Stegostoma tigrinum: one gene and its partners. The protein of the gene in region 3 purifies or fractionates together with the protein of the main gene of each other region. This does not show direct contact. Links are inferred from orthologs where the notes say so. Each region holds a gene or a part of one and is shown on either strand. Other genes may lie near its edges.

What was found.
Region 1: the proteins of arhgap12b (region 3) and tight junction protein ZO-2-like purify together in Homo sapiens (co-immunoprecipitation; 3 studies listed by BioGRID and IntAct, with this or other methods). This does not show direct contact. The link is inferred for Stegostoma tigrinum from reciprocal best matches to the Homo sapiens genes ARHGAP12 and TJP2.
Region 2: the proteins of arhgap12b (region 3) and arf-GAP with SH3 domain, ANK repeat and PH domain-containing protein 1-like purify together in Homo sapiens (co-immunoprecipitation; 3 studies listed by BioGRID and IntAct, with this or other methods). This does not show direct contact. The link is inferred for Stegostoma tigrinum from reciprocal best matches to the Homo sapiens genes ARHGAP12 and ASAP1.

The regions. Positions count from the first base shown.
Region 1 is NC_081356.1:27,980,687-27,987,629, reverse strand, and holds the start of tight junction protein ZO-2-like, read right to left. Parts: upstream 3,036-6,943; 5' UTR 2,913-3,035; coding exon 2,841-2,912; intron 1-2,840. UniProt on the Homo sapiens protein: Plays a role in tight junctions and adherens junctions. Acts as a positive regulator of RANKL-induced osteoclast differentiation, potentially via mediating downstream transcriptional activity.
Region 2 is NC_081358.1:50,931,501-50,938,980, forward strand, and holds the start of arf-GAP with SH3 domain, ANK repeat and PH domain-containing protein 1-like, read right to left. Parts: upstream 3,011-7,480; 5' UTR 2,699-3,010; intron 2,061-2,698; exon of another isoform or gene 2,042-2,060; 5' UTR 2,018-2,041; coding exon 1,959-2,017; intron 1-1,958. UniProt on the Homo sapiens protein: Possesses phosphatidylinositol 4,5-bisphosphate-dependent GTPase-activating protein activity for ARF1 (ADP ribosylation factor 1) and ARF5 and a lesser activity towards ARF6.
Region 3 is NC_081355.1:127,967,785-127,975,048, forward strand, and holds the start of arhgap12b (rho GTPase-activating protein 12b), read right to left. Parts: upstream 3,015-7,264; 5' UTR 2,806-3,014; intron 1-2,805. UniProt on the Homo sapiens protein: GTPase activator for the Rho-type GTPases by converting them to an inactive GDP-bound state.

The DNA of each region.
Region 1 (6,943 bases), on a different chromosome or scaffold from region 3:
TTCCCCCCCTGAGTTGCATGAGGAAATTTAGCATGTCCATAAAAGGTCCCTCACCAACTTCTACCAATGCACCATTGAAAGCATACTGTCCAAGTGCATAATGGTCTGGTATTGGAACTGCTCTGCCCAGGACAATAAGAAACCACAGAAGGTGGTGTGCACAGCCCAGACCATCACAGAAACCAAGCTTGCATCTACAGACTTCATTTACATGGCTCACTGCTGCACAAAGGCTGCCAACAAAGACCCACGGCACCCTAGCAATGATCTCCTACAACCTCTTCTGTCAGGAAGATACAGAAGCCTGAACACACACACCAGCAGGTTTAGGAACAGTTTCTGCCTGGCTATTACTAGATGAATGGACACTCTAACCTCAAATAACACTGATCTTACTAAACAAGAGTGATCAACTCTAAATGTTGATCTCACCTAGTACACACCCTGTGCAATATAACCTGAAGGTATCTGTCTAAGTATTTTTGATCTGTACATTGTTTGCTTACTATGATCTGCCTGTACCACTGAAACAAAACTTTTCACTGTGTTTCAGTACATAGGACAGTAAATAGAATCAAAACACCAGCAGCATGGTGGTTCAGTAGTAAGCACCACTGCCTCAGTGTCAAGGAACTAGGATTCTAGCCCTGAGCAACTGTGCAAACTCCACACACATTCTCCCCATGTCTGCACGCTTGCTGCCCACCTCTTCCCACCGCTCCCCACATCCCCCCCCACCCCCCACCCCCCCACCCCCACCACCACCCATGATCCGTTTTCCTCTCAGTCTAAAGATGTGTAGGTTACGTGGATTAGCCATGCAAAAAATTGGCCCATATAGTGTCCAGGGATGTGCGGGCTAGGTGGATTAGTCATGGCAAATAAAGTTCCAAGGATAGATTTGAGGGTGGTGTCAGACAGACACTCTTTGGAGGTTTGCTGTGAACTTGATGGGCTGAACGGTCTCTTCCAGACTCTAGGGAGTCTATGAAGATGGTCAATAAATAGCTCCTGTAGTAAGAGTTCTAGGATTCCCATGGTGGGGGAGGGGGGAAATAATGGTGTTTCACAGCTTGCATTTATATCATTGTTTAAAAACAAAACAAAAAAAGGATGGGGGAGAAAATACAAGAAAAATATAAAAATAAACAAAGACTTGCTCACTAAACTCAGTTCTCATGACCATGCTCCCTCAAGTCACATAAATCTCACCTGCTTAGTTAAAATCCACTGTTCGCAAGTGTAGCATTTTTATAGGACGAGCATTTCAATCAGTTGAGAAGGAAAAAATGGGGGAACCTTTTGGGCAAGTGCTCTTCAGAATTACTTCAAAAGTTTTCCAGTACTGAAACAGGCCATTCAATCTAAAGTGTTCCAAATAAATGCTTTATGCTCCATACGAGTCTCAGCTCACTATCAGCATACTCATCTATTCCCTTCCTCCTCTGGTGTTGTTTCAGTAGCTTGTAGTATACACCTCACTATACCCGAACACACATTCTTAGGGTAACAAAGCTTTTCCTCAAATTCCCTAATAGATCTATTACTTAATTAATATTTAGTACCAGAGTTCCAAAGAGGAGACTACAGGTGGAAGGTATAACATTTTCTACCTCAGATGAGAGCCATACAACTGCAAAGTGTACTTTCAAACATTTCAAGAAAATCACCAAAACACAGAAACTGTGCTTCAATTTAAAGAAAGAAGGGAAGAGAGAGGGAAAAGGTGAACAGAAGTCACTGATATCACAGTCCTTCTGTTATAGAGAATGGTGTAGCACAAATTTAGGCCATTTAGCTGAACTGATTGTATGCTAGTGATCATGCTTCTCCCAACTCATCAATATATCCTTCTATTTCTTTCTCAGTTCACTTGTATATTTAGTTTCCCTTTAAATGCATTCACGGTAGTTATGTCAACCACTTACTGGAGGTTAGAATTCCACTTTCAGATGTTCGCTGACCTACTTGTAATTTTCACATTTTATAGTCCTTAGTTCTTGGTTATGTGCCTTTCCTTTTTAAGGAAGGACAATTTTCGAACGAAAAAGGAGCTGAAAGGCCCAGAAATGTGGCCTCCCTGATGAACAATTATGCAGCAACAAAGCATTTTCATAAAATACCACTCTTTTACCGTGCATAGTTTTGAGAAGCACTGCAGCCGAGTAGAATGGACAAAATAAGGGATAAGGGATGAGAAATAAAATAATTACTTTAAGATTTAGTTTGCTTTTAGATGAATCTTATGTGCCAAGATGATATTAGAAAGCCTCAACTCTGTTTCCAGTAGGAGGTTCATTAAGCAGATTTGTTTTAAGATAAAACGGAAAAATAGCAAGAGGAGATTGGTTTTGCTTTGGGTCTCCAAAGCATTGTTCAGATTCAATAGTAACTTTCAGAAAAAAAAAGGGAAGAGTTCTTCATGGCCCTGGGTAAACGTAGGCACAACAAACCAAATGGTTGCCTCGTGTTTTGTCATTCCCAAAACAATACCACAGCTCAACAGGTACAAGGGGTTCACAATTCAAACATGCACACTGGACAGTTTCCAGAAAATAGCTGAAAATATTAACACAGATTAAGAATTATTTGACTAAAAGCTTTACATGATACATACAGCTGGTGTTGAAAAAAATTAGTTGCCATCCCAACAATTAATCTCTTCGAGATCATTACATTAATTTAAACTAAACTACAACAGCATGCAATTGTTAGTCTGAATTTTCCAACTACCAGGAGAAGCGAACTGTGAACAATTACAAGATTGAAAAGAAACAAACTACGGGGACTGACCATCAAGCATTAATGAAAAACAGTGACAGTAGCTTAGAAAGACTCACAAGACCACTGTAGAGCTTGAACGAATGCACTAAATTGGCCCATTTTCGCTGCAGCGTTTGGATAGACTTCATACTGAGATGCAACACTACACGGTTGCAATCGCCTACAACTAGTCAGTCCTCGCACCGAGAATCATCCATTTCCAGAAACCATCAAGCTAGATTATGCAAGCTTAATACATCGCTGCCCTACATGTAGCGCAAATCCTGCCTGTTACAATTGTGCTGGGAAGGCAAAACAGCCCATTCAGGACACAAGTCAGTCACAATCAGAACCTTGGCCGCCACACTGAATTTAGCACATTTTACATTGTACATACTAAGTAGGGCGATACTGCACAAGAATGGAAGAGTAATGCTAATCTCATCCAATTTTGAAAAGTATGTATGTGTTTTCTACTAGCCATTAACTTCAAAAAGGAAGTTGTTTTTTTCTTACATCCACTGTTATGAAAAAGAAACAAACACTCAGTGTTACAACAAGTGGGATTAAGCCTGCGAACTGGAGGAATGAGACAGGGCTCCACATTAACCATTCATTGTCCACTTGGTTGATTCAGGCTTGCAAACAAATCCAGTTTGCTTTCAGCTCAGAAAGAATTTCCAGAAACAAAAATAAACAAACTTTCTATTAGACACCTGAAACTTAGCCTGTAAAATTTCACTTCAGGCTCAGTTCAAAAACAAGATACCTTGACAAATCAGAAGAAAGCTGGTTACAGGTTAAGGAGTATCAACCTCAACTCTTGCGGCGGTAGTGGTTTGGTTTGGTTTGGTTTGTGGTCACCCGATGTGGTGTATACAAAAAGGTGGAATCCCTCTTTCCCCCCCACTGCGTGCCCCCACCCCAAAGTGGGCCAAAAAGTGGATCAATCAAAAATTTCAAAAGCAGAGATTTCAAGAGAAGGTTATCAAGGAGGTGCAGAACAGGGCAAGTGGATGGTGTTACGATACAGATAAACCGTGATCTTGCTGAATGTTAGGCCCAAAGAGGTCTGATTAGCCCCCTCCTTTTCCTACTTATATAGCAACTGCTAAGCCATTAAAACCAAAATAACCGTGGATGCTGTAAATCAGGAACAAAAACAAAAAGTTGCTGGTAAAGCCCAGCAGGTCTGGCAGCATCTGTGAAGGAAAAACCAAAGAGTTAAATGTTTCAGGCTTGGTGACCCTTCCTCAGAAGGAAGTGCTACTGCTAGGCCATGTTTGATTAGGTTCCTCACCAGCTTCCACATCTTTCAGCACCTTACTTTATAAGCTACTGCTACAAACAATTGTATTTCTGCACAATTTACACATTAATATGCTGCCTTGGTCCCAAGTTGGCCAGACTTCATTAAACACTCTGGAAAGCAGAAGGCTACCAAAATTTAAACAAAACAGGTAGCTCAGTGATTTTGTTAAACTGGGAGAACTGACAACAGAATAATGCATGGCTTTCCTTAGTTGTACTTTTAAAATTGTACCACAAAAAGGAGGGAAAAAAAAACAGGTTGGAGCTGTTTTAGGACAATATTTCATTAAAATGATCTTTATTATATGTGTGGCTGATAGAAAGCTTGCAGAAATTTGTGAGTTTCCAATGGATTTGGAAGTAGAGCCTTGCCCAGCCTATTTCATTTATGCACGAGGAACAGGGGGTGGCTATTCTGTCCTCTCAAGCCGGTTCCACTATTTAACTAAGATCATGGTTGATCTGCATTTCAACTCGGAACCATGGCATGCAGACACAATTAAAATACCTAGAGATGCTTGGTAGTGAGTGAGTGTGTAGAGGGATCTTGGTGTCCATGTACATAGATCCCTGAAAGTTGCCACCCAGGTTGATAGTGCTGTTAAGAACGCTTATGGAGTGTTCGGTTTTATTGGTAGAGGGATTGAGTTCCGGAGCTGTGGTGTCATGCTGCAACTGTACAAAACGCTGGTGCGGCCTCATTTGGAATACTGCATGCAGTTCTGGTCGCCCCATTACAGGGAGGATGTGAAAGCACTGGAAAAAGTGCAGAGGAGATTTACCAGGATGTTGCCTGGTCTGGAGCACAGGCCCCATGAAGAAAGGCTGAGGGACTTGGGTCTGTTCTCATTTGAGAGAAGGAGGCTAAGAGGGGATTTAATAGAGACATACAAGATGATCAGAGGATTAGATAGGGTGGACCGTGACAGTCTTTTTCCGAGGATGACGACTTCAGCTTGTACAAGAGGGCATAGCTACAAATTGAGGGGTGATAGATTTAAGACAGATATCAGAGGCAGGTTCTTTACTCAGTGCCAAGGATGTGGAACACCCTGCCTGCCAATATAGCTAAACTCAGCCACATTAGGGGCATTTAAACAGTCCTTGGATAAGCAGATGGATGATGGGATAGTGTAGGGGAATGGGCTTAGATTACTTCACAGGTCGGCGCAACAGAGGATTGAAGGGCCTGTTCTGCGCTATATTGTTCTATGTTCTATGAACACAAAATTGAACCCTACGCTCAAACAGGTTTTTGTAAAAAAAAAAGGAGTGGGCATACAAAGATCAGGCAGTCTGCTAGTAAATGCTATTTCTTTAGTGACAGTATCAAAAGCTCCATCTCCCAAATCCACTAACATCATAACAAGCGGTTCTCACTACAGAAATAGAATACAAGCCAAAAATCAAGCATTTTGGTAGGGAACACACGTCATACTAATACTTTGTAGCATAATCCATATTTAAAAAGGCACAACCAAAAAAGGACCTTTTTTTGAACGAGATCATCCAAAACTTGGATGAACTTGTAATGACACTAATCTTCTAATCCAAAACACATTTGGAACCCATTTTTTAAAAAAAACTCACTGCAGTTGGGTGTATTTCTGGACCAAAGATGAAACTATTTTTCCAGCTATGAATAAACATATCTGTTGATAACAAAAGCACAAAGTTTCACCTCAACTGTTGAACTCAAATGTGAACTGAAAATGTCACCATTTCCAAAGAAAACAGGAATAATCTTCCAACTGTCTGATGAATTGATAGCCAAAAATAAAGAAGCAATAGCAAGCACAGTTGGTGGTGAACCGCACAGCGTGGAGTTTGGTTTTATTCAAATAAATTTTGTTTTCAGCTTTATGCTGTGGAGTCTTGGAAATTGACTGTCAGGGAGGTTAGCAAGAACACGGTTTGAAAACAATCATTAGGTTTCAGCTAGGGAACTGCATCCAATTCTGCACATAAAACTATTAGGAAGGATGTGAAGACTTCAGGGAGAAGGAGAATGGAGAGGAACCTGGTGTCAACTTTACAACATATAAACAGGCCATTCAGCCTAACTCATCCAAAGGCAAACGACCTCAGTAAAGCAGATTGCAAACAGGAGGCTAAAATAGTATCAGAGATAATGGGAACTGCAGATGCTGGAGATTCCAAGATAATAAAATGTGAGGCTGGACAAACACAGCAGGCCAAGCAGCATCTCAGGAGCACAAAAGCTGACGTTTCGGGCCTAGACCCTAGAGCTCTCTGATGAAGGGTCTAGGCCCGAAACGTCAGCTTTTGTGCTCCTGAGATGCTGCTTGGCCTGCTGTGTTCGTCCAGCCTCACATTTTATTATCTTGCAAACAGGAGGCTATGGGGAGATGTGATAGACGTGCTTATAGTGTAACTAAAAAAGAAACTCCTTTCAATGGCAAGATGATCAGTAACCAGAGAGCAGAGATTTGAAAGGTTAACTTTAAGAGGAGTAAATATTTAGTTAGTGTGGCAAACAGTGATTAGGAATGCACTGACTGAGGATATTTTGAATCAAAATTAAACTTCCAAACAAAGAGATCAGAGTTAGTAATCAAATTTGATAGTTCTATGAAAGAGCCAGCACAGGCTCAAAATGGATTGAGTGGCTTTCCTTCTGTTTCGTCATCAATTCCATCAAAGAGAAATTTAAAACAAAATTATTCATTTTCCACACAGTAATCAGATAAAGACTACAGTTCTCGCCAATAGCTAGGATTTTTTGCAGACCACCTGCCATTTTTTGTGGCCTTAGAAGCATTCACTAATGCAAAACAAAACTGCTGCAACAAACAATCCACTGGAAACATGTTGAAACATTCCTGTCATTTACTCCACCCAGGAGTTT
Region 2 (7,480 bases), on a different chromosome or scaffold from region 3:
AGCTATCAATGACTTAATGAGAAATTCCACAATGTTGATTTCCCCTGAACTGTAAAAATTATTGGCCAAAAATCATATTGATTGATGTGTAAGTGGAACTCTAATGGTAAACACACTTCATAATCATTGATACTTACTGGCCCTTATAAGCTCATTTTAATTTGGTAAAGGATTACATTCCTCCATTGTAGAAAAGAACGCCACTTCTTTTAATGTAACCCTACCCTCTAAATAAAACAACGATCTTTTAGGGCCATGCCTGGTCTAATCGCAGCCATTTATTTTTCCATCTGAAAATCCAAATTAAGAATAAAAGGCGATCAGTGCCTCTAACTTCCTACTTTGCCATCTGTGAGAATACCGCAGTATGATTGGCTATTTACCCTGCTTGTCCACATCACCGTTACTGAATATCATTCCGTCGACTTAATGCTAGATTTAAGCAGCCACAAAGAATCGGAAATCTGCCAAATACAAGATCGCTACCTTCGACTATTTGAGTACTCTGAGGTGAGCGCCGTTGCTTCATTGCCAACATCTCTGCGAATATTATTTTTCTCTTTGAAATATAACTGACACTTAATTCTTCCTCTGTGCTACTTATTAATAATTCTTCAACTTGATTGCAAACAATGCAAGGAACCTTATCTCCTTAATCAAAGAACCCATATCCCCTGAAGAGACCCGTCAGGTTTTCAAATGGTTAGATCAGAGGAACTTGCAGTTCACAGAAAGGTAAGTGCCGGCATCAATCTGCATTCGCCGCTGACCATAAAATACGGCCCTGCACATTCTTTCAGTCGTTTGTAGCCCTTATTCTTATTCCATCACATGGAGCCTATTGCGCCACCTTCAGGTTTTAAACAAGGGACAATAGCAATAAATCTTAAAGATGTTCTACGCAATTCAAGGGTGCGTATATGTTCTACTGCCACATCATCATTTGTTCAAAAGAGAAAAGCTTTCCGCCAAACAGCTGCATTTTTTTTCGTTTTTAGTGCAGGTCTCCTCTTGCAACTCAAAAAAACAAACAACCGTTCCCCCACCAAAGCCGCATATTCCTTTACTTCATAATTTAGGCAGTAAAAGCTGCTTTAAAATAATGCAAAATGAAGGAATTTCTAGGACAAAGCGTGTGTTTTTTTTTGCTGCTGCGTCCAGTCGGCTTAGGCCCAAGAATAAACAACATTAGGTAGATAAGTAAAATTGTGAACTGAGAATTGTCTATATGCTGAGTCAGAGTAACATTTTAACATTTCATCAGCTCACACACGATTCAAATCCCCCTGAAAACCGAGGCTTCCCTCTGCATCTTCAACAGATATGTTCCCAGGCTAATTTAAAGGGGGGGGGGGAGCTGCTGTCTTGTTTTCCCTTGATATTTCCTTCCAAAGTTGATTATTTCCCAGCAAATTCCTTGTAGAATAGAAGTGGTGCTTGCGGTTTGTGGGTGTTTTGTCTGTTGGGGGTGGGAGTCGTTGAGAAAGGGTCTGGGAGTAATCTGTCATCTCTCAAAAGATCCAGATCTGTGGAGGTCTTACATGAGAGAGAAACAAAAACTAGTTTGAAGGGGTGGTTTATGTATTCATTGGTGTGATACCAGAAACTTCGCATCGTTGGTCAATGCTCAGGTTAGCGTATTCCTCCTCAATATGTCTTGAACCAAAGAACACTCAGGATCGTGAAGCAAGTGCCACCATTCTGGCAATGTTCAGTCTCACCAGGAAGTCCCGTGGCGCACACATTTGTCCTTCCCACCTTCACCCAACATTCCGCGACCCTTCCTCAGTCAACTGGCCCGCTCCGCCCGTCTTCCTATCTCCCTGTCTCCCGCCCATCTCCATGGTTGACCCAGGAGAATCCGAACAACGGCAGATTCGCTCTCGAAAGGACAGTATTGGGAATCATGTTGTAAGAGAGAGAGAGAGCTGGCGTCGTGCTGTTAACCCCTAGCTTACCGGTTCCATAATGAATCCCTGGAGGAGAAGGTTGATATTCTGGAGGTGGAAGACCTCATGGTTTATTTCACACCGAATCCGACCTTAACATGAATGAAAGCAGCAGTGAGTTTGACTGGCCCCTTGGCGATCGAAATGGAGATCTTAATCGCAGTTTATTTTTGTAACAGCCTGGATTCACACGGGATTTACGAACGACTTCACCACCAATTTGAATGTGGAAAGGGAGGGGGTGTAGAGGGAGGGATAAAGTAGACATGACATAACCCCAGGACAAAGCTAGACAAGGTTTCTCTTTTCATCAATCTCTTTTAGAATTCTAAAAGTGATTTTATCTACTCATTTACAAGATCAAAGAGTATGCTGAGTTTTCTTTAAAGCGCCTAAAATGTTAAATGTATGCGTCAGTATCCTAGTTGACCGATTAATCTTCAGTTGGAACTTTCAGATTTCCGAAATGATATTGTGGTTATTTTTTTTTAAGTTTTCAAATACTTCTCGTACAAGAAGTTGATTATCGATGTAATGGGTCCAATCTCTAAATTTCTAAAGGTTCTGGAGATCGGTCAGAGAAAGGTATTGCGCGTCATGTTCTGAGGCGACTTTTAAAAAAAAATATACATTATTAATAATGTTTCTTAATAATGTGCGGAAGTCATTCGGGATATTTTGTGCCACGCCAGTAACTCAGCTGAGTGCTGCCGTTTCTTTCACCCCGTCTGCGGTGTTCAGTAACTTACCAAAACTGGAATTGATTTTCTTCCTGACCAAAGTTTGTAGGTAAGGTTTGTTGCCATTATATCATTTTCATCCCTGGGCTATACGGCAGCTTTCCCCTTCACAGTCTTGTTTTAGGTGATGATCGACAGTTAAGAAAATCTTGTTGATTCGAAACCAGCAATGGAGAGAAGAGAACTGTGATTCGTGTCCATATCCGTTCCTTGTGCTCTGTGGAAAGCTGGGAATCAGAAACGGAAGGAAAATCCACCATGTGAGCGGCATAAAATACAATGGAGAGAAATGTGGCTGACAGCAGAAACTCCAGGAAATCCAACTAATCCAACGGAAATAAGATATATCTGAAAAAACATGCCCTGGAGCTGCACATCTTCAATTTTTCACATCTAGCCAGTGGTCATCGTATACACCTATTAACAGCACGAAATTGTGTTTATAATAAACACACATGAGTGTTAAGTAAATGTAAACAATAGTTGTATTTTTAACAATATGCTGTTAATGATAAGGAGTGTAAAACCTTACTCAACATTAGGTGGACAAATGTCACCCTGCTAATTTTGTCCAATTTCGAAGTCAAATATCACGATTGTAGATGAACAGAAGATGTCAGGAAGCTAGGAGTAGAGAGGAAATCTTTCAACATTTCCAGCTCATTCTGTCACTGGAGATCGTGACTAGACTGTGACTTAACACCTTTTACCAATCTTTGCCCTGTCTTATTTCATGACACTATTTCTCTTTCCACGAATGCTGCCAGATCTGGCTTCTCTGGCATTTTCTGTAAATCTGTAAAATTTTCAGAATCTGCAATTTTTTTTGAGTTCTTAATAACTTTGCTGAAGGAAACTATCAATCCCAGATTTGGAATTAACAAATAATTACCTTCATTTTACATGTGTAGAGGAGAGTTTCATTGTTCTGCCACCCTTGTGTGTCCAAGAATTCCTCAGTATTATTCCTGAAAGACAGGTTCCAATTTATATATGGTACCCCCAGCGCTTGACTCCATCACAAGTGGAATTATATTCTCTATGCCCACTACATTTGTTCTCCTGAATACATTGCAAATTCCAACTAAATCACCACACAGCCTTCTAGATATCAAAGAATACAACCCTGGGTTTCTGTTATCAATCCTTGTAATTTGACATTTGGAGTCTACGGATTATTCTTGGAGAACAAAAACAAATTACTGAATAAACTCAACTGGACTCACTACATCAAAGCAGTGGTTACAAGAGGAGGTCAGAAGCTAGAACTATGCACTGAGTAACTCACCTCCTGACTGCTCAAAGCCTGTCCACCATCTGCAAAGCACAAGTCAGAAGAGTGATGGAATACTTCCCACTTACCTGGATGAGTGTAGCCCCAACAACACTCAAGAAACTTGCAACCATCCAGTACAAAGCAGCCTGCTAGATTGGCACTACACCCACAAGCATCCACTCCCTCCACCACTGCACAGTAGCAGCAGTGTGTACTATCTACAAGATGCACTGCAGAAATTCACGAAAGATCATCAGACAGCACCTTCCAAACCCACAGCCACTTCCATCTAGAAGGACAAGGGCAGCAGACGTATGGGAAGACCACCACTTCCAAGTTCCCCTCCAAGACACCCACCATCCCGACTTGGAAATATATTGCCGTTCCTTCACTGTTGCTGGGTCAAAGTCCTGGAATTCCTTCTCTAAAAGCACTGTGGGTCAACCAAAGCTGATGGACTGCAGCGGTTCAAGAAGATAGCTCAACACCACCTTCTCAAGGGCAACTAAGGAAAGGCAAGAAATGCTGGCCAGTCAGTTACGCCCACATCCCACAAATGGTTAGAAAAATATCACAGAATTGTTTCAGTGCAGAAGGAGGCCATCTGCCCATCGTGTCTGCACCACTTTTCGAATGAGCATCTCATTCGATGCCATTCTCCTGCCCACTCCCCACAGACCTGCATAACCTTCTTTTTCAAGTAATCAATATATTCACTTTTGAGTGCCTGAATTGAACCTACCTCCACTACAGTTTCCACCATTGCATTCCAGATAATAACCACTTAGTGAAAATGATTTTCTTCGTATCTTTTGCTTCTTTTACTAATTACTTTAAATCTGTATGCCCTCATTCTGGATCTTCTGTTGAGTCAAAATATTTTGTCTTGAATTCTTCTATCTGATAGGAAAATAGTCCCAACCTCTATAATATAGCTTTATAGATTAAATTCCTCATTCCTGAAACTATTCTCATAAACCCCATGCACTATCCCTAATTTTCTTTATATCTTTCCCTAAGGTGTGATGCCCAAAACTAGATGCAGTACTTCATTTGAGGTCAAACCAGTGTTTTTACAAATATTTAATGTGACATCTGTGTTCTTGTACTCAATGCCCCGATTAATAAAACCTCAAATATTGTATTTAAAAAAACTGCGGATGCTGGAAATCTGGAACAAAATAAGAAATTGTTGAAGAAACTCAGCAGGTCTGACAGCATCTGTGCAGAGAAAGTAGAGTTAACAATTTGGTTCTAGTAACCTTTCTTCAGAACTGGAATATTGTATTGGAATATTGGAATGCTAGCATACTGAATGCACGATTAACTATTCTTTTCTTCTGTTCAGCCACCTTGTATGGCTTATGCACATAGACACCTTGGAAAGGGTGCAATACACCCCAGAGTCTGGAAAAGTGAAAAAGACGCAGATAATACTGAAAATACTCCACAGGCAAGGGGGCCGGCACAGTGGCTCAGTGGTTAGCACTGCAGCCTCACAGCACCAGAGACCCAGGTTTGATTCCAGCCTCGGGCAACTCCCTGTGCAGAGTTTACACATTCTCCCCGTGTCTGCGTGGGTTTCCTCCGGGTGCTCCGGTTTCCTCCCACAGTCCAAAGATGTGCAGGCTAGGTTGATCGGCCATGCTAAATTGCCATAGTGTTCAGGGGTGTGTGGGTTATAGGGGAATGGGTCTGGGTGGGATGCTCCAAGGGGTGGTGTGGACTTGTTGGGCCGAAGGGCCTGTTTCCACACTGCAGAGAATCTAATCTAATCTAGTCTAATTGGTGTGTAACATCTGTGGAGATTAACAGAGTTAATGTTAAATTCTTGTAAAACATTGCTGCACTACTTTCAAGGCCATTTTACACTTCAAAAGATGCAGTACTCACAACTGTTCACATTACTCCAGTATGGACTAAAACAGAGTTTTGTAGCTGAAGGATAACTTTAACATTGTTTTATTCTAAATTTCAGGTTGTAAAACACATTTTGTTAGCAATTTTGATTAATTTTGAAACCTGTTTATGACATTTTAATGATCTATATATCTCAACCCCAACTCTGTTTGAATATGTACTTCCTAACAATTTATCATTTAGTTTCATTTTAGCCAGATTCAGATGATCTACTCTTTACAAACCCTTGCAGGTTATCTCGGACTGCTGAGAAGTTTCATATACCCTATCCTGAATGATTCAAACAGTTTGCCAGCAACAGATCTGAGACTATCTGGTCTAAAATTGGTTTATCTTTTTCACATTTTTGATTGATGTAATTAATTTGCATCTGCACAGGATGCATCTCAGGGTTCTTTAGCTTACATTCTTAGTAATCACATAATTTTCAGTTCCTTAGTTTCGTGTATGATATCTACTAGCATATATTTGCATATGATTTATCTGTTTAATTCATTGTGCTTTCTCAAAGCAAATTAGTTTACAAAGTTTCAATGAAACCTTTTCCAAAAATCTGATCATCTTCCTCAAATATTACTGCTTTTTTTTCCCCAAAAATGGTAAACTTTTTCTAAGTGCAATAAGATTCCTTTAATCCTAAAGCTACCCTTCCATTTGCATTGATGAGAATGACAAACTAACCTCATCATAGTACAGCTTTTCTATTCTTAACCATAGCCAACCTTATAAGCCAACATCTCGGTTGAATCTGATCCTAACACAATTGTTATGGATGATGGTAAGTGGCAAATTGATCTCTTGTATTCTCATCACGTTCTGTGTGTAAGCAGGTTGGTTTAATTTCGAATAGGCTATAATTTTTTCCTAAACTCCGATTTGTGAAGATTTTTTGAAAGCGACTCGCACAGCAACTCTGTTTAGGTTTAAATCAAGAGTGTTGTTCTATTAATTTCAAACCTAGGGCAGCCTTTTCAACTTCAGGCACACAAAGCATCCAAGAAAGAAATAAGAAAGGAAGAGTTTTCTAACTAAGAATAAATTTATACTAAAGAGTTTAGTGTTTAATAAAAGTCACGCAAATCAGAGTTGTCTTGACTTGTGAGTTAAAAGTTTATGTTAGTCTACGTGGCTGATGACAGGAGTTGCAGGATTCTGATAAAGTTGCTGATGAAGCAGCAAGATGGTGTTAGTGTAATGGGAGTTCTGGAGAAGGGTCACTGAACGCAAAACATTAACTCTCCTTTCTCTCCATAGATGCTGCCAGACCTGCTGAGTTTCTCAAATAGTTTCTGTTTTCGTTGGAAAAATGAAAATAGTCCACTTTGCAGGAATATATAGAGATCTTTTGGAACTAGATTTTTGAGGATATTTGATCAAGAGGTAGGCTTCGCTATCAGCCTGGAGCCTCTCAGCTTACTTTCAACAATCTGTTTGTCTGTCCCTTTTATTTCTCTCTCTCTCTCACACACATTCTCTGTGTCTCACTCTGTCTCTCTCTGGGCACTGTCTCTATGCACTCTATTCACTTCTCCCACCCTGTCATCAACATAATTACCACCCTTTCCTGGTTATTTTTAGGTCTGACAAAGGGCCAT
Region 3 (7,264 bases):
TCTGGATACTTTCAAGAAAGAGATGGATAGAGCTCTTAAAGATAGTGGAATCAAGGGTTATGGGGATAAGGCAGGAAGGGGATACTGATTGTGGATGATCAGCCATGATCATAATGAATGGTAGTGCTGGCTCGAAGGGCCAAATGGCCTACTCCAGCACCTACTGTCTATTGTCTATTGTCACAAAGAACCAGGCAAGGCAAGTTGGACAAAAAGGAAATCGGTGAGACCAACTCCCAACCAGTATGTTGGGTGAGTGAAGGAGTTAGCAAGACTGCACTGAGGTTGACGAGTCTGAGTTCATTGCTTATGAGGCTATGATAGCATTGATGCAGCCTTTTAAAAATGGGAGGTTAGGCACACAGAAAAATTGCTGGCTAACCTCAGATGGAGTCAAGTCTGGGATGCCAGCAGAAGAATAGGGACATCTGAAGGGTTGAGGTATGGTCTGGGAAAGGCAGAGTACCTGAAAGAGCAGAAATGAAAGGAGGTCTAATAACAGACGAACAGTGTATAGGTTTGGCAAAGAGAAAAAAAATTTAAAGACAAAAGGAAACAACAAAGTAGAAAGAAGCACTGGGTGCACAACTGAGCAATCAAGTAAAGAACACATGCAAATGAATATTGGGAAAGCTTCTGTCATGTCAGCAGGTTATGTATTGTTAGTTAGCTCGTATGTAACAGCAACAAATAGGGAATAAAAATGAAAGGAACTGCTGAAAAATCAGGAACAAAAACAAAGTTGCTGGAAAAGCTCAGCAGACCTGGCAGCATCTGTGAAGGAGAAAACAGAGTTAACATTTAGGGTCCAGTTCCGAGGAAGGGTCACCGGACCCGAAACTTTAACTCTGTTTTCTCCCACACAGATGCTGCCAGACCTGCTGAGCTTTTCCAGCAACTTTGTTTTTGAACAAACAGGGAATGCTGAGGTAATAATAGCAGTCATAAGTCAAAGCCATAATTCTTGTAGTGGGGTACAGCTGACACAAGTTGATCGAATCAGTAGAGAGTACTGATGAACCCTTCTTCAAATTTGGAATAGTGTGCAAAAGAATGAAGCAGCATCACAGAAAGCTCAGGAATTCCTGCTGGAGTGAGGATCCAGGAGGTCTATAGATCAGTTGAAGTGTAAAGATGATGGCAAAGTTAGAGGCCATCACATGACCTGGGAGTAACAACGTATCTGCCAGTCCAAGGTGGTACATTGCTGGGTAGTAACCAGACTTTACATAATGCTGACAAACCAGAACAAAAACAAAACACAGAAGAGACTGAGACCCTCCAAAGCAGCATTAGGGGGAGACTGACACTGATCATAATTACTGTGAAACATAAGCAACAGAGCAACAAATCACAAGTACAGTATTTGCATCTTGCGACATAAACCTGTGCTGTTCAGTGTTGAAGTGCAGTGTTAATCAAGAATTTTCAGGAATTTGAAGGAATACGCAGCACTCGAAGATAAAATAATGGGGAAAAGTAGGACATTGGCTAGTTATGACACTCATTTGAAGGGAAAGTGCATGCATGCTGGACCAAATGGCCTCTTTCTGTGCTATAACAATTCCATGCTTCTGGAGGGAATCCAGTGTGAACCTGTGGCTGGGGATGTGGGAATAGCAATTGAAACAAGCAATTACCTTGACATTAGAGCTAATTGTCTACTATTACAGTCAGGGGAACTTACAGTGGGCCAAGTGTGGCAGAGATTGGCCAAGAATTTAAGTCCACAGTGAGGAGGAGCTCCCTATCAAGCTGACTACATAGGGAGGCATCTTGGGGGAAAATAAAATAACAAACTTGCAATGTAAAAAAAAAATTGTGTACCAGTGTCCCTGGGTCATGTAATAACTTGACAAGCAATTCATTCCTGATCAGTAAAAATTTCCAGCTGTTTTAATAAGGCAAGGTTTTTGTAAACCAAAATGTAAATTATTGGCCCTGCATGAAATTAGCAATTACAATTTTCAGGAGAGCAATAACTTCTTTCACAAATACAAATTTAACCGTAGATAATGCAAATGAGCAAAGAAAAACCCCTGTGGCTCCATAGATGAAACAACAACGCAAAGAGGAAAATGATCATTCCGTATACAGAGAAAATCTACTCCTTTCTCCAGCCTTCAAACCATATCGGTCAATACAAAACAAGTATGTTTGGGAGGGTAGAGGAGGGATGCATTTGAGCATGGTGCGGGGAAATGGACAAAGATAGGAGTTGTGGAGTATGCGGCTGTGTGGATTGAGGGGGGAGACTGTTGTGTGGGGCCAATAAGACTGCATCAAGGGGGGCGATTTGGAGGTTGTGTGTCACGGTTGGGATGAGTATGAGTGGGTGAGAGGATAATGGGGTTGTGTGGAGGTTAGGGACTGGGAGGCATTAGCAGTTTTATGAGAGTTAGAGGCTGAATTGAGGGGGTGGAAGCGGACAAGAGGCGATGGGTGAACTGTGAGGTGGTTGGATGGAGTTGGTGTCTTTGAGGGGTCAGGGCACTGAGTCTGTCACGGTGCAGGTGATTTCCCTGTGATTTATTGTGTCAGATCTATGAAGGTTTAGGGCGGCCACTGGGTAAATCTGAGGTTTCCTTGTGGTTACTGCTTCCTCCTTCGCTTTAACCGAGGCCCCGGTCCCGGCCTCCACCACCCACACACTGCTCACTCCACAGCGAAACGGAAGGCGATCAATTCGTATTAGCGACCATATCATTAGTGGACAGACAGCACAGCGAGGCAGAGAAACTTTTCACTACGAATGCACTTCACGCTCCAAACTTTGACAAATACATAATAAAAAAAATCACGCACCTGCTTCGGACGATGACCGCAACAGCCGGGGAAAGAAACAGGCGAAAGGAGAACGTTTAATTTTCTGGAGACCTTATTTAATGTCTGTAAACTGAAGTCTCTCTTACAGATCTGATTTTTTTTGTTACTGTATGTCATGGTACTAATCCCCCCACCCCCCCGGCCGTCGAACAAACCAGACTGCGCCTCGTTTCCAACCAGCGCGCGTGCACGACCCACCGATCATCTCCAACCACCCGCGCGCACGTACGCACTCCTTCGTCCCGAACAGCGCCGGTCCTTCACCCGCCCCGCCCCTCACATCGCCTCTTCTCCTCAAGCCTTCCATTCTCCTTCTGCAAGCTCTCAGGATAGTCTGCGCGTGCGTATGGCTGAGGTGGTTGCCGAGCAACGACCATTTTCGGCTGTCAGAAGCAGTGTTGGTTCCGTGGGGTGAGCGGGAGGAAGGAAGCGGCAGCCGCTGGCTTGCAAGGTAAAGTTTATCATGGTGAAGGATAGCGAGTCACTCCCGCCTCCTTTACCCCCGCCCCTCAGAAAAATACACCGTCCAGCACATGTTGGCTTTGAGTGTGCATGTCTGTGAAGCAATGGAGACGATCACCGCGAATCGAAAGACGCTTATCAAAACTTTTGTGAAGACTTCATGAGTGACGGGGCTCGATTTTCTTGGTGTTGCTCCAGCGAGTTGTAACCACGTACGAGGGAGTCGAGTGTTATGGAAGCAGGTGGGTAAGTTAAGAGCATAGCCTGATTAGCCATGATGGTATTGAATAGCAGAAAGGCTGGATGGGCAAATGTTTTCTTTTCCCCCTAGAATTCCCGTCGTAAGAGCACTGTGGATCAGCAGACGGAACGTGGACTGCAGCGGCTCACCGTTACCTTCTCAAGGGTAGCTAGGGAATGGAAATAAATGCTGGCCAACCAGCAACACCTGTGCCCCACGAGTGAAAAAAATAGAAATAGCTGTATGGTCTCAGGATCAATGTCTAATTGGAACTAGTGAGTGAGTTTTCTTCTAAACCAGCCGTATTTGGACCTTAGTAAGAAGCAGGATCAAAGAACAATACAGCACAGGAACAGGCCCTTCAGTCCTCCAAGCCTGCGCTGATCCATATCCTCTATCTAAACCTGTCGCCTATGTTCCAAGGATCTGTATCCCTCTGCTCCCTGCCCATTCATGTATCTGTCTAGGCACATTGTAAATGATGCTCTCGTGCCTGTCTCTACCACCTCTGCTGGCAACGCATTCTGGGCACTCACCACCCTCTGTGTAAAGAATTTCCCATATCTCCTTCTCACCTTGAAATCGTGACCCCTGGTAATTAAGTCCCCCCACTCTGGGAAGAAGCTTCTTGTATCCACCTCTCATTATTTTGTGGACCTCAAACAGTTGCCCCCTCAACCCCCATCTTTCTAATCTAAATAATCCTAATTTACTCAACCTCTTTTCAAAGCTAGTGCTCTCCATACCAGGCAACATCCTGTTGAGCTCCTCTGCACCCTCTCCAAAGCATCCACGTCCTTTTGGTAAGTTGGCGACCAGAACTGTAGGCAGTATTCCAAATTTGGTCGACCCAAAGTCCTATACAACTGTAGCATGACCTGCAACTCTTGTACTCAATACCCTGTACGATGAATGAAAGCATGCCATATGCCTCCTTGATCACTCTATCGACCTTCGTTGCCACCTTCAGGGTACAATGGACCTTCGACCTGCATTGCCACCTTCAGGGGTACAATGGACCTGAGCACCCAGATCTCTCTGTGCATGAAGTTTCCCCAGGACATTTCCATTTACCGTATAGTTCAGCCTTGAATTGACTCTTTCAAAATGCATCACCTCGCATTTGCCTGGATTGAACTCCGTCTGCCATTTCTCCAATCTATCTGTATTCTGCTGCATTCTCTGACAGACCCGTTCACTATCTGCTATCCCACCAATCTTAGTGTCATCTGCAAACTTGCTAATCAGACCATCTATACTTTCCTCCAGATCATTTATGTATATCACAAACAACAGTGGCCCCAACACGGATCCCTGTGGGACACCACTGGTCACAGTTCTCCATTTTGAGAAACTCCCTTCCACTGTAACTCTCTGTCTGTTGTTGTCCAGCCAGTTTTCTATCCATCTAGCCAGTACACCCTGGACCCTGTGCAACTTCACTTTCTCCATCAGCCTACCATGGGGAACCTTACCAAATGCCTTACTGAAGTCCATGCATATGGCATCTACAGCCCTTGCATTATCTATCAACTTTGTCACTTCCTCAAAAAATTCTATCAAATTGGTAAGACATGACCTTCCCTGCACAAAACCATGCTGCCTATCACTAGTAAGCCCATTTTCTTCCAAATGTAAATAGATCCTATCCCTCAATATCTTCTCCAGCAGCTTCCTCACCACTGACGTCAGGCTCACCAGTCTATAATTACGTGGATTATCCTTGGGACCCTTCTTAAACAAGGGGACAGCATTAGCAATTCTCCAGTCCTTCAGGACCTCACCCGTGATCAAGGATGCTGCAAAGATATCTGTTAAGGCCCTAGCTATTTCCTCTCTCACGTCCCTCAGAAACCTGGGATAGATCCCGTCTGGGCCTGGGGACTTGTCCGCCCTTATGCCTTTTAGAATACCCAACACTCCCCCCCCACCCCCCGCCACCGCCACTCCTTATACTGACTTGACCTAGAGTAATCAAACATCTGTCCTTAACCTCAACATCTGTAGTGTCCCTCTCCTCAGATCTTTCAAGTTTAATCCATATCAACATGTGCAATTTAAACAAATCTTTTGCAGGAAGTCAAACTGAATGTATTTGTATTCAGCCATCCACAGATAAGGAGTTAAGGCTGCAGGAAGCACCGAATTAATCCTATTATTCACTGGACAATTTGAAATAAATCAAAGTATCATTATTGTTATGCTCCAGCAAATATCCACTTACCAAACGGAATTATTCTGGATCTCTTGGAACATAGGAATAAGCACAAAATAGGTTAAGAAATACATTTGCCAATGAAATAATGTGAGATCACCCAAGAACATGTGTAGAATCCTCTTGTGAAATAAAGTCCAGTTATAGAGGCACTACTTTTACTATCTAGCTAGTAAAATGAGAGAATGTACTTCAGCGTTACAAAGCCACTAAATCATAACAAGAGCAAAATTTGACAAGGTCATGGCTGATCTACAGCCTAACTTTGTTTAAAGATTTACACATGTTTCTGGCAGCAGATGTAAGGATTGCTGATCTGGACAGAGTAGATAGGGAGAAACTTCCAGCTGATGAGATAGGAGGGTGCAGTTATTAGGTAATTTTCAAAAGCAAGTGTGATGTGACCAACAGACTTTCTTGTGTATCAAACAGTAATGGTCTGGAACACTGGTGGAGGCAGCTTCAGTTGAGGCATTTGAGATGACCTTGGGTGATAATTGAATATAAGCAATATTCAGGGAGTGGGGGGGTGTGGTAGAAGAATGCCACCAAGTTGTAATGCTCTTCTAGGGAGCCAGTCTATCCATGAATGGCCAAATGGCCACTTCCTGAGCTGTGACGATTCTGTGATTTTTGTTTCATGTTCTGTTATTTCTCCCATCAACCCGAACAACAGTGACATGCACCATTTCCAATCTAATTAATAATGGATTATTCAGAATATCCATCACCTTATGATTTTTATTGGCAATTACAATGATCGGTTTTCCTAGGACCTACATTGCTTCTAGCGATTCTCGTTTTACCTCTGTTATGGAAGTTGATTATAAATAATATTTTGACCTGTTAGTTTGTTTGCAAGCAACACATATTGAAGACTAATTGATGGATTTCAGAAACATCTGATATGCAGGTATGGCCATTTGTGCTCAGTTCAAAGGCAGGTCCTCGGCCAAGTGTCTGCTGATAGAGGAAACAGGGAATGTCCTAAGAATAACTGATTAGTACACAGTTCCAGAACTGAATCCTGGAATTTTCAAATGATCTTTTATATTAATTCTGACGTTTATAAAATTATGATGTTTTGGCAATTTCACTTTAAGGGAAAATGAAGGTGGTTGAGACCTGTTCTGCAGTTTGCTTGCTAGTAAGCCGGATCAATAGAGGATTTGCTTGGAGATTGTGGCAGCAGTGTCTGAAATCATGATGATGAGTAGATTCTGAGAGGCAATTTTGTCAACAACATGCTATTCCCAATGGCACAAACCAAAGTGTACACCACTTCTTATGTCTTACTATTTTCCATTTTCCATGCAATTAAAATTAAGATTTGAGATTCCAAATTTGAGCACTAAACACATGCCCAGTCATGCATTGGGAGAAGCTTTTCCATGGGCAAAGAGAAGCTCTGCCTCATGTCTGCAACTTTCCAGCCAACTTCATTGCCATGAATGTTAGGCTTATTTATTGAGAATGCAATGGTGGCTCAGGTGGTTTCCAAACTCTCATTTGTAAATGCT